Daphnia pulex: one gene and its partners. The main gene of each other region encodes a partner of the protein of the gene in region 3 in a complex. Links are inferred from orthologs where the notes say so. Each region holds a gene or a part of one and is shown on either strand. Other genes may lie near its edges.

Region 1 (3,193 bases), on a different chromosome or scaffold from region 3:
TTGGATTGGGACGGGAGACAAATTTGCGTGGGGCTTGATTTGAGTTAAAGAGAGACGATGAGGAGATTCGCCCAAAGTCCTGCGCGCCGTCTGTGTTGCACCTGGTTTTTCCACCCCTGGCCGATCTCGGAGATTAGAGATGGGACGGGCGTGGCAGAGAACTTGAAAATCAAGCAGCGCATGGCGTGTGCCGGCGGCAACTGGCGAGTGTACTCTCCTCTCACACGCGGAACAGTGTAAACAAAAGGAATTTCGAAGGTACCACAGGTAAAAATTCCTACTACACAACTCCGCACCTTGTTGGTCTCTACAAATTCTTTTTTCAATTTTACATGGTTTCTTTTTCTCGCATTTTTTTATGGCAGTCGCATTGTCGAGTAGGGCTTTTAATTGTTCGGGGAATTTATATTTATTTGAGAGTTCGTTGTCTAATCTTTGTTGTGTTGTGCGCATTAGATGTGGATGATGTCAAATTTGTCATCAACTTCGATTACCCCAACTGCTCCGAGGATTACGTCCACCGTATTGGTCGTACTGGCCGCTCCCAACGCACAGGAACTGCGTACACATTTTTCACTCCCAACAATTCCAAGCAAGCCCAGGATTTGGTGAACGTTTTGACAGAGGCTAACCAAGTTGTCAATCCAAAACTCTACGAACTCGCATCTTCCAATCGCGGTGGAGGAGGTAATTGTCGATGTCAAATATTTGTTTCGTTCTTGATTTTAATGAATATGATGTGTTGACAGGTCGTTCCCGATGGGGAGGCGGTGGAGGCTATGGTGGCCGTGGAGGATACGGAGGTGGAAACCGAGGATATGGTGGCGGACAGTCTTACAACTCTGGTAAATAAACTTGATTGTGATATTGGTTGAATAAAGTATTAAGTCTCTTATTTCTTTGTTTATTTAGGCCGTTCTTGGGTGGAGCGCTAAGACGGACTTCAAACCTAGCACCGATATTCAAAACAATTGTCAACCTAGATTTTTTTTGAATCAACATTTAATTATTCCAATTTAAACAAGTAAAAACGAGGAAGTCTCTTGGCATTTTCATAAAATCCTGTCCGAGCACTAAAGCTCCGTTCCCGACACCACGCTTCATCTTTTCGTTTTTGTAGGCCAATATTTTTTTCGACGTCTTTTCATATCTTTGGCAATTACATCAGCCATTTCACTGACACGTTACAATGTACTCTTATGTTTGTTCGAGTTAACCGGAATACAAAGTAATCGTAACCACCTATGAGTAAAATTGTTTGACTTGAGGTTGTCGATCTGGGTTTTTGGTTAAATAAATTTCTAAAACTGGATTAGTTGGCAATTCTACAAGTGTTCCAGTTGTAGTAGAGAAGGGGTGAAAATAAGTGAAAGGAGTATCAAGCATATTTTTTTATTCTTATGGTTACGTTTCTTTTATAAGCTTTGAACTCGATAGGCTCTGCGTTAAAAATAGTCCTTCAAAACCAGCCCTAGTTATTTCACATTTATAATTCACGCTTCGTACAGTCCATTTTTGTCCTTGTAGAATGTGGCAGTTATTTTTTGTAGGTAGTTGACCAGGCACCAGCCAGATTCGACTCAATAAACGCAAGTGTGAGCAAGGAGAGCAATTTGGCAACATCGCATTTAAATTCAGTGGTGCTTGATTTTTTTTTGGTGTCAGGCAGTAGTCGAGTAAAGCTGTGATCATAACAGCTTGTGTGATTTGTATTGTAGCTTTGATTTGTAAGAATCTTAAATTTTAATCCCAAACTTCTGTCCACTCTGTCAAAAAGTGTCCGATGCCAGTCAAAACAGACGTTCACGTACCACCGCCGGCAAATTCGCATCAGCCAGGAGTGTGTCGATCGCTTTTATACAATGGTTCTCGATTTCAGGGTCATCAGAAATCTAAAGGAAATTGTTACGATGTAGAAGTTGTACTTCAGGTAATGATTCATTAAAATGAGTAAACTGTTTATTTCTAATGTTTCAATTTCTATGTTCAGCATGTTGATGAGGAGAATTCATATTTATGTGGCTACCTGAAAATCAAAGGTTTAACCGAAGAATTTCCCACTCTTACTACTTTCTTTGATGGTGAAATCATCAGCAAAAGATTCCCTTTCCTCACTCGCAAATGGGATGCTGATGAAGATGTTGACAAGAAACATTGGGTATGCGAATTTGATACTTTAGACTTCCCGTCAACTAATAATGAAATGTACCTTTTCAAATTTGCAGAGCAAGTTTCTGTCATTTTATCAATATGCAAAAACTTTCAATTCAGATACTTTTGACTATGATGCCATGCAGGAGACAGATTATGTCTTCATGAGGTGAATATCTTTCAAATTACCAGTAATTGGTCAATCTGATATTGTGACATATGTTTTTACGGTCAGATGGAAAGAACATTTTCTGGTGCCTGATCATACTATCAAAGATATTAATGGGGCCAGTTTTGCTGGTTTTTACTACATCTGTTTTCAAAAGTCGACAGCCACGATCGAAGGCTACTACTACCACCGCAGTTCAGAATGGTATCAATCGCTGACGCTCACTCACGTGCCTGAGCACAGCATTCAAATTTACGAATTTCGATAAAATTCCTTCCACCAAATATCTTGTTTGTTGAAAAAAATAAGCATGAATAACGCCCATCCCGAGTTGTAATAAGAGAAAATCGTTTCGCCTTCTAAGCTCCTTTGTATTTCTTTTCCTTTTTAAGAGGACGAACAAAAAAAAAATACGAGAAAAATTCGTTTAGCAACACGCTGAGAGGATTGACGTAAGGAGACAAAAAAATCATCAACAAAAAAAGAAAGGGAGAGCTGGTAAAACTTTCGAGATAGCTATTGACAATAGAAAAATGTTAAAAAAAAAAGAAGCGACAACGAAATCATGAAATGACGCAGGTGAGTTTTGCGTGAACATGACTGAGTCTTGACTTTTTGATGGCCATCTTCATTTCGTGGTGATGGTTGGGGTGGTGCGGGTGGTGTCGGGCACAGCCGCTGCTAAGGGCGTACGAACGCAGCTGCGAATGAAGCGTTGGTGGCAGAGGAAGCCGATCTATGGTATAGACAGAGGTCTGCGAGACGATTGAGCGGCAGCACAACTCTTGGAGCGATAACACTGTTGATCAAAATTTTAAAAATTAGGATTTCAATTGGGATTGAACAATATCTAAATTCGTTTACACATAACTA
Region 2 (3,119 bases), on a different chromosome or scaffold from region 3:
ATCGGGGTGGAGTTGCGTTGAGAGGGGAAGGAGGGACCCGGAGGGAGGGAATACGGGACGCGGAAACCCAAAATGCGGGCGTCGTCGTCGTCGCTGTTCATCCCGTGAAAAACAAAACAAAAAACTCCTTTTTTCATCGTTGTAACTGCGTGTGTGTGTATGCTGGTGTCTTTTCTTTATCTAAATCTTCTTGTTTTTTAAAGGGGAAAAAAAATCTGCCATCACCTTTCGAACGGTTTCCAAGGGAAGAAGAAAACGGTTCCGGCGCAATCCAAATATTATCGCGACTAGAAGCTCTTTTTTTTTCAGTTTTCGGGGTTGTTATTTCTCACCGGTATACGGCGGCGGCAGCGGCCCAACGGTTTTTGTTTAGTCGATGAGTAGAGAGTGAGTGCTAGCATGAGAGAGTGTTGACGCCCTTTAGGATATCAACACCAGCACCGACGGACTGAACGACCGACAGACCGTGTGTGCTTTTAATCCCCCAAAGAGAGAGAGAGAACGCGTCACACACACCAGCCGAAAAAAATGAAAGAAAAGCCTAGGCCGATCATCGCCACCTTGAACCGAAATGTCAATTTTTTTCAATGCAAATCGCGCTGATTGAGGGCAGAGTTGAGGAGGTGTTAGAGACGTAAACCAAAATACATACCTTGGCTAGCTACACTAATGATACTCAAATGGTGATCTTGGCCATTTTTGATCATCCAACGTTGTTGAATCATGAATGAATTTCCATCTCATCAGATTCCTGAAACAACTGACAGGCAGTCCGTCATCCTCTCCATGGATGGGATTTAATTACCACTCGTCTTGTAATTTAACTCTCTTAAGTTGAGATTAATCCTCTGGTATTTACATCACAAGTCTGTTTCGGTCAGATTCAAGGGGGTAAAAACAGTGAGTTGACGTCAACATCAGTGGCAGTACTCAATCCAGGGAATAAGTTGGAGGAAACCTTTGCAGTAACTTACAAAACCCATTAGGAGTAGCTGTAAGCTTGGAGAAATAAAAAAAGAAACGAGACGCCAAAAACTAAAAGTTTCATAACAGCTATTATAGCTTGTTGGTAGACCCACCCTTTACTATATGTCACTGTGAATATGGACGCTGAACGCAAACAAACTGTACGGCCGTTCGTCACTCAATGAATCAATTTGACCGATAAGATGGTTTAGCTTGATAAAGGAACAATTGAGCTTACTTGTTTCGATCAAGGTCTTCCATAACTGCAGATAAACTTCACGGAACTCGGGAAACCATGGCTTTAATATTTCGTGACTGACGTTTAATAGTCGGCCATTTTGCAGTTTTGCTGTGTAGTTGACAGCGCCACCGCTCTTTTTATTTACATCCCGATGTTGATCGAAACAGTGTACAGTAGTAGAAAATGACCGCATTTACAGACAAGCCTTCAGAAATTGGCAAGCAAGAATGGTTGGAAAAGTTGGAAAATGTTCATCTACCGCGTACGAACATGAATCGTCTAGTGATGAACTACTTAGTGACTGGTAAAATTATTTTTTTTCTAGTTGTGTTGTTCTCCTTTTTAACCAGATTGCATTATGACATGAACTTTGCAGAGGGTTTCAAAGAAGCTGCTGAAAAATTTGCATTAGAGGCAGGCTTCAAGGCTCCTGCGGAGCTGGAGAGATTGGATGAAAGGATCAAAATAAGGGATGCCATTCAGGCTGGGAAAATTCAGGAAGCAACAGCCTTGGTTAATCAACTGCATCCAGACTTACTTGATTCAGATCGTTATCTCTTCTTCCACCTCCAACAGCAACATCTCATTGAACTCATCAGGCAAAAAAATATTGAAGAAGCTTTGAAATTTGCTCAGGTAAATTCAACTTACCAAAGTCATCTGCACATAATTTTCATCCCAGAGTTTGTCTATTAAAATAGGAACATTTAGCTGAACGTGGAGAACAGAATCCAGCCATCTTAGGGGAATTGGAGAGAACCCTAGCACTATTGGCCTTTGATGACCCTGAAAAATCCCCCTTTGGAGATCTACTACATACTTCTCACCGTCAACGAGTTGCCAGCGAGTTGAACGCCGCAATCCTCAAGGCAGAGCATCGTGAATCCACAACCCCTCAACTAGTCTCCTTGATGAAATTGGTCATGTGGTCTCAAGATCAGCTTGATCAGAGAAAAGTGGGTGCTAAATTGTCAGAATACTTCTCTGAACTAGTGTCAGGAAAAAGTTGAATTGGACAGTCTTTTATTGTGATGCAGCAGATTAAACATCTTTCCATGTCATTGAAGATTTCTACTAGTTTTATTTCGTTTTATTAGGTAAAATATCCACGGCTGACGGACTTGGCGCGCGCCACACTGGATGACCCGAAGTAAATTGTTTCGACCCCAATCAATTACACTCATTTCTTGTTTTGTTCCTTCCATCGACAAAGTCTCTTCACAAATTACTCTTTAATCAACTGATCCATCGGAATACAGACTCGTTAAAACAACAGGGTGCATCCTGTCAATCCCTTATCCTTAAATACATTGAACATTTTACCAGCCAAAGACAAAATCCATTGCTTTGGAAACCAAACTCGAGTTGGGCTGCGCTGTCGTTCGTTGTTGGTTAACCTTGAGAGTCGATAAACACAAAAGGTGTTGCGTTAGAATTTTAGGACACCATATACGTGATAATATTCTAGTACCTCATAATCAGCTTGTGCTCCTTTGTAAGTCTGAGTCAGTGGTCTAAGATTGCTACGATCCAAAGCAGAGGGAGTTCCACTGGTTCCCAAGGCAAACGAACTGCTTCGATCCCAGATTGCTGGTTGTGGAGTTGAAGTGATTCTCATGGCTGGAGTGCTCATACCTGGCATGTTTTCCTTTCTATTTTCCTCCATAATGGACTGTAAAATACAAAAAGTTAAATTAGACATCAAAGTTATCTTTTCTTCTGGTGATCGTGTGAATTACCCCATCAGTACAGGGAACTACACCAATTATGAGAGTGTCAGTCAAAAGTCTGCCATTCCTGGCTAGGGCTTTTCTAGCTTGTAAGCGGCTGGCAAACTTCAAATGCATCCAGTTTCCCTGAGAGCGAAAATAGAAGTGAAAGAGTAAGAAAACAACAAATTCTAAAGAAAGAG
Region 3 (4,351 bases):
TCCAGCATCTCCTTTTCAATCTCTTCGCGTTTTTCAGCCGCCAGTTGAATCTTGGAATGGATTTGCTCCTCCATGGCTTTGGTCTTTTCTTCACTGCTCTGTTTGACAGACTTGATATGTTCTTCCTGCAATAAATTAATTTAAATTAATTTCTAGTTTCCATGCGAATAATTAAAGACATTATTACGTGAAGGCGTAGCTTCTCTTGAAGTTGTTTGATGATTTCGTCACGCTTCTCATCAGCTGATTTCAGCTTCTCGTCAATTTGCTTTTGGATCTCTTGAAGCTTGGTATCGTTAGTCACCCTGACTGTTTCCACTCGTTCCAACTAGGCACGATGAATAAGTTTACCAGATAACTTATCTTTACAATGAAATACACTTACATGCTCCTTCAACTTGGTCTTGAGAGAGTTCAAGTGAGCCTCTCTCTTCTCCTGAGATTCCTCCATCTTCGCATCTAAATTTTCTTTGGTTTTGGTGACAAAAGTTGAGACAATCTCTTGCCTCTTTTGCACAGCTTGGTTGATTTTCTCATCCACATCATTGATGGACCTATTAGCCTGGAGAAATCACAAAACACCCCTAAGTAACTGTGACGAGTTAATTTGCTTCTTTGACCAACCTCACGCCTTTCCTTGGCCGCCAATAGCTTCCTCTCAATCTCTTCTTCAGAGGGCTGAGGACGAGTTGGTGTTGAAACAGTGAGTGGTGAAGGGGGGCGATCGCTTACTGGTTCTGCTAAGATAACCTAGTTGACAATGAACCATGAAGTTATGTTTCAGTGAACATGTGGCAAGACTTTACCTCATAACTCAATCCTCCCTTGGATTTCTCTTCCCCACGAATAGCAGCAACTGCAAGCACCATAATACCAAGAGTTAGGCAACTCTAAACCACAAAAGATTGACCAATGAAATCCTACATACCTTCTTGATCAATAGGGCTAGACATAGCTGTAGACACCTAATCGATTAAGATCAATAAAAAGATTACGTCATGAATTCAGGCGTGGTCCTCGTCACGATCAATTCCAACAAAGGAAGTTTAAACAAGGATTCACAATTCAATTGGCAAGTACAAATATTAACCCTCTACTCAAATGACAGTGTAAATTAACGTTGAACAATCAATTACCTTGGCAAAGACAAAATTATAAAGGAAAAAAGTCTCGTGGAGGAGTTCGAACCAACGTTCTCGTTTGCAAGCGAAATGGCGAATGAATGCAAGTGAAATAGAATAACGAAACTGGCTACTGGGGTTCAGTTGACATGGCGACCGCCTTTTGTTACTTACCCCCTCCCCATTTTTGCGGGCGCGGGAAAAGTGAAAACTCTTGCCCTGCAGCTGATTTTTATGAAAAACGAAAACTGGCGCCCTTTTCAATTTTACAACGCCATCTAAAGTGAAAAAGTTGCACTATGTACTAGTAGCGTCTGCTAGCAGACAATCCGGCTTGAGCCATTTTCGAACAGAGACGCATTTTCATTTGGGAAGAAAAATGACTAAACTAATTCATTCAATCATGGTAAAGAATTCGGGACATTTTTCCATTCTGGTTATTTTTATCAATTATTTGGTCATTTTAGGACGTTGAGAGCTGTAACTCGTACGTTGACAACCTTTACGATGTAGACAGTGCAAAATGCCTAGATGCTGTCATGTAAATATTTTTGTATTTGTATTCCAAGAAAGGAAAGTGATAATCCAACAGTTGTTTTTTCATAGATACATCAAAAACATGATTATCGGTTCCAACAAGGCCAAGAATATGATCATTCAACAGGGTATTACTCCAAGATTGATTCAGTTACTCGACGATCCTATTGGTGGTGATGATCTCAAATTGGAGGGTAAATATCACATTCAGAAATAGGGTGTCACAACAATAGATTCAATCGGTTTTCTTTGTTGATTTTTAGTGATAGCAGTGATTGGATCCCTTGCACGAGGAGATGAAAACCACATTAAATCCCTAACAGCAGCGGGAGTTATTCCTTTCCTACTAAACAGTAACGTGATTTCCTTTGTAGCTAATTTGAAACTAAAATCTGAAACTTTTCTTTTTCATGTGACAGATGTCTGCGCATCAACAAATCCTCAAGTTATTGAATTTGCCCTCAGAGCCCTGCAACAGTTATTTCAGAACGAAGCGACAAAGACTGACCTCCTGTTTGCAGATTCAAGATTGGTGCCCCAGCTGTTGAAACTCATGCCACTGTCAGTTTGCAACCAAATATCTGTCACTTCCATCTTTACCAATGCCTGCAAGGTGGATAGTACAATGTCAATAATGCCTGAAAGATTGATACATTTCAACTTTTTTGAACCTAGACGTCTGAACACCAAGCGATTCTCTGCGCCAACGGAGCCGTTCCAGCCCTGGCCGCTTTGCTCAATTCTCCTGTAGGCGATGTTCAGTTAGCCACTTTGGACGCTATCGCTTCCCTGTGCTATCAGAACCAACGCGTTTCGGCCCTTCTGACTGTCTCCAGCTTCGGCGGCAAATCCGTGACGGACCACTTGGTGACTTTGATGGCCCGTGACAGGCCGGTGGCCATGCAGCTTGTAGCAGCCCGCTGTCTGACCTATCTACATCGAGCTGGAGCGATCTGTGCTGACGATGGCAAGATCTTGTACAAGACATTGCCTTGTCTGGTGCGGATGTGCCGGAAAGAGAACAGGCGAACGGAAAAGGCTCTTGGTGCGGAAACACTGGCCTATCTGATAGAAGTTGACACGGAACTGCAAAGAGTGGCCTCCATTTCCGACCACCTCATTCAAAATCTTTCGCTATTTTTGGCTAAAACTCGAGATAACTCGTCGGTGCAGCAACTTGGAGTCGAGTCGATTGACGAAGACGCTCCTGCCAGCGCCAAAGAAGTTCAAAATCTGAAACAAGCCGCTCTCCGGGTAATTCATTCAATTCCATTCAAACGAGAAAGAGATACTTAATATGATTCCTTGTCAAAAGGCATTTGCATCGTTGGGCGCCAATGACGAAGACATCCGTAAAAGGATCATTGAGACGGACCAGTTGATGGATCACGTGGTGACGGGATTGACGGAATGTGGGGATCACAGAGTCCAGTTGGCTGCCGTCCGGTGCCTTCATTCTCTGTCTCGATCTGTCCAGCAACTACGAACAACTTTTCAAGTAATTCAATCACCCCCCCAAACAAATTTGAGCCAAGGTCTGTAACAAGGTGACGTTCAATTCAATTAGGATCATTCAGTGTGGAAGCCGCTGATGAAGTTATTGCAGAATGCGGACGAAGACATTTTGGCCGTGGCGTCGTCGACGCTGTGCAATTTGCTGTTGGAATTCTCGCCGTCCAAGGAGCCCATCCTCGAGTCTGGTGCCGTGGAACTTTTATGCAATTTGACGCGTAGAGAAGATTCCGCTCTGAGACTCAACGGCATTTGGGCCCTGATGGTATTTGTTCATCGAGTCCAAAGACAACAAAATTGATTCAATTGACCCCCGTCTTATATTATATAGAACATGGCGTTCCAGGCCGAGCAGAAAATCAAGATTCAAATCTTGTCGTCGCTGGGCACGGACCAAGTCTTCCGGCTCCTCTCTGACCACGAAGTTGGCGTCGTCATGAAAACGCTTGGCTTATTGAGGAATTTGTTATCGACAAAGCCGCATATTGATTTGATTATGGCCCAGCACGGTCGTCAGATCATGCAGGCCGTCATTCTGATATTGGAGGGCGAGCACAGCCCCGACGTCAAGGAACAGGCCCTGTGCATTCTGGCCAATATCGCTGACGGTGAAACGGCCAAGGAATTCATCATGTCCAATGAGGACGTCCTGCGCAAACTCACCAATTACATGGTATCTAATATTTTTAAATCCATCCATCGCCTCCCAAGTTTAATACGTCAATTCTATTTTCTTCCAGTCGCATTCGAATGTCAAACTGCAGACGGCCGCCACGTTTTGCATCGGCAATTTGGCGTGGAACGAAGACAACGGCTGCCTCGAACGTCAGGCGCGTCTGAGGGAATTGGGCGTTTATCGAATTTTGCAGCAACTCCTCTGCACCAACGACGCCACACTCTTCGAAAAGTAAAACGTAGAATTTCATTGACCTTGACGTTGCATAATAACGTTTCCTTGTCTTTAACAGGGTCAAAGCGGCACTGCAGCAGTTCTCCTAAACAAATCGGAAGTCTCCTACACCACGCCCCTATCAAATATTTGTGTATTTTACATAATTTGGAAATACTCGGAATCCGGCAACTGTTTATGTCTCATAAGATAACTTTATTATCATCATTATTATAATTCTAATAATAATAATATATGTCTTATTATAATCTGAAATAATCGGTTGGCGAAA

The links.
Region 1: the proteins of armadillo repeat-containing protein 8-like (region 3) and glucose-induced degradation protein 4 homolog are in contact, whole or in part, in a cryo-EM structure (PDB 7NSC), measured with the Homo sapiens proteins. The link is inferred for Daphnia pulex from reciprocal best matches to the Homo sapiens genes ARMC8 and GID4. Residues at the interface, in NP_001350870.1 of Homo sapiens: Glu309, Pro310, Asp311, Val312, Asn371, Glu373, Arg406, His409, Arg413, Ser414, Val415, Gln416, Arg419, Thr420, Gln423, Asp424, Val444, Ser448, Cys451, Asn452, Leu455, Phe457, Ala483, Val486, Asn487, Trp490, Met493, Asn494, Phe497, Gln498; in NP_076957.3 of Homo sapiens: Leu104, Ile105, Pro106, Pro107, Pro108, Pro109, Ile110, Gln114, Pro115, Gly116, Val117, Ala118, Thr119, Gly125, Gln146, His147, Tyr154, Cys156, Tyr158, Phe174, Glu176, Phe239, Val241, Pro242, His244, His292, Ser293, Ala294, Pro295, Ile296.
Region 2: the proteins of armadillo repeat-containing protein 8-like (region 3) and glucose-induced degradation protein 8 homolog are in contact, whole or in part, in a cryo-EM structure (PDB 7NSC), measured with the Homo sapiens proteins. The link is inferred for Daphnia pulex from reciprocal best matches to the Homo sapiens genes ARMC8 and GID8. Residues at the interface, in NP_001350870.1 of Homo sapiens: Asn45, Val47, Ile48, Gly49, Asn50, Val85, Ser89, Met92, Arg127, Arg130, Arg161, Tyr162, Tyr166, Leu200, Ser201, Tyr202; in NP_060366.1 of Homo sapiens: Ile83, Ala84, Asn87, His90, Pro91, Glu92, Leu94, Asp95, Thr96, Tyr101, Tyr183, Glu184, Asn185.

What each region holds. Positions count from the first base shown.
Region 1 is NC_060026.1:848,973-852,165, reverse strand, and holds glucose-induced degradation protein 4 homolog, read left to right. Parts: upstream 1-1,369; 5' UTR 1,370-1,783; coding exon 1,784-1,930; intron 1,931-1,990; coding exon 1,991-2,158; intron 2,159-2,225; coding exon 2,226-2,320; intron 2,321-2,386; coding exon 2,387-2,588; 3' UTR 2,589-2,683; downstream 2,684-3,193. Other genes in the region: probable ATP-dependent RNA helicase DDX5, read left to right, coding at 457-687, 750-845, 913-935; ras-related protein Rab-40B-like, read right to left, coding at 2,884-3,119.
Region 2 is NC_060019.1:2,413,484-2,416,602, forward strand, and holds glucose-induced degradation protein 8 homolog, read left to right. Parts: upstream 1-1,332; 5' UTR 1,333-1,390; coding exon 1,391-1,511; intron 1,512-1,583; coding exon 1,584-1,843; intron 1,844-1,908; coding exon 1,909-2,163; intron 2,164-2,213; exon of another isoform or gene 2,214-2,304; coding exon 2,305-2,361; 3' UTR 2,362-2,480; downstream 2,481-3,119. Other genes in the region: AT-rich interactive domain-containing protein 1B-like, read right to left, coding at 1,205-1,227; nucleoporin NUP35-like, read right to left, coding at 2,527-2,604, 2,679-2,879, 2,947-3,063. UniProt on the Homo sapiens protein: Core component of the CTLH E3 ubiquitin-protein ligase complex that selectively accepts ubiquitin from UBE2H and mediates ubiquitination and subsequent proteasomal degradation of the transcription factor HBP1.
Region 3 is NC_060025.1:9,364,839-9,369,189, reverse strand, and holds armadillo repeat-containing protein 8-like, read left to right. Parts: upstream 1-1,402; 5' UTR 1,403-1,500; coding exon 1,501-1,527; intron 1,528-1,588; coding exon 1,589-1,662; intron 1,663-1,727; coding exon 1,728-1,852; intron 1,853-1,921; coding exon 1,922-2,011; intron 2,012-2,077; coding exon 2,078-2,271; intron 2,272-2,333; coding exon 2,334-2,912; intron 2,913-2,973; coding exon 2,974-3,156; intron 3,157-3,225; coding exon 3,226-3,435; intron 3,436-3,501; coding exon 3,502-3,843; intron 3,844-3,910; coding exon 3,911-4,077; intron 4,078-4,138; coding exon 4,139-4,169; 3' UTR 4,170-4,335; downstream 4,336-4,351. Other genes in the region: stathmin-4-like, read right to left, coding at 1-125, 188-328, 386-562, 625-750, 807-856, 929-953. UniProt on the Homo sapiens protein: Component of the CTLH E3 ubiquitin-protein ligase complex that selectively accepts ubiquitin from UBE2H and mediates ubiquitination and subsequent proteasomal degradation of the transcription factor HBP1.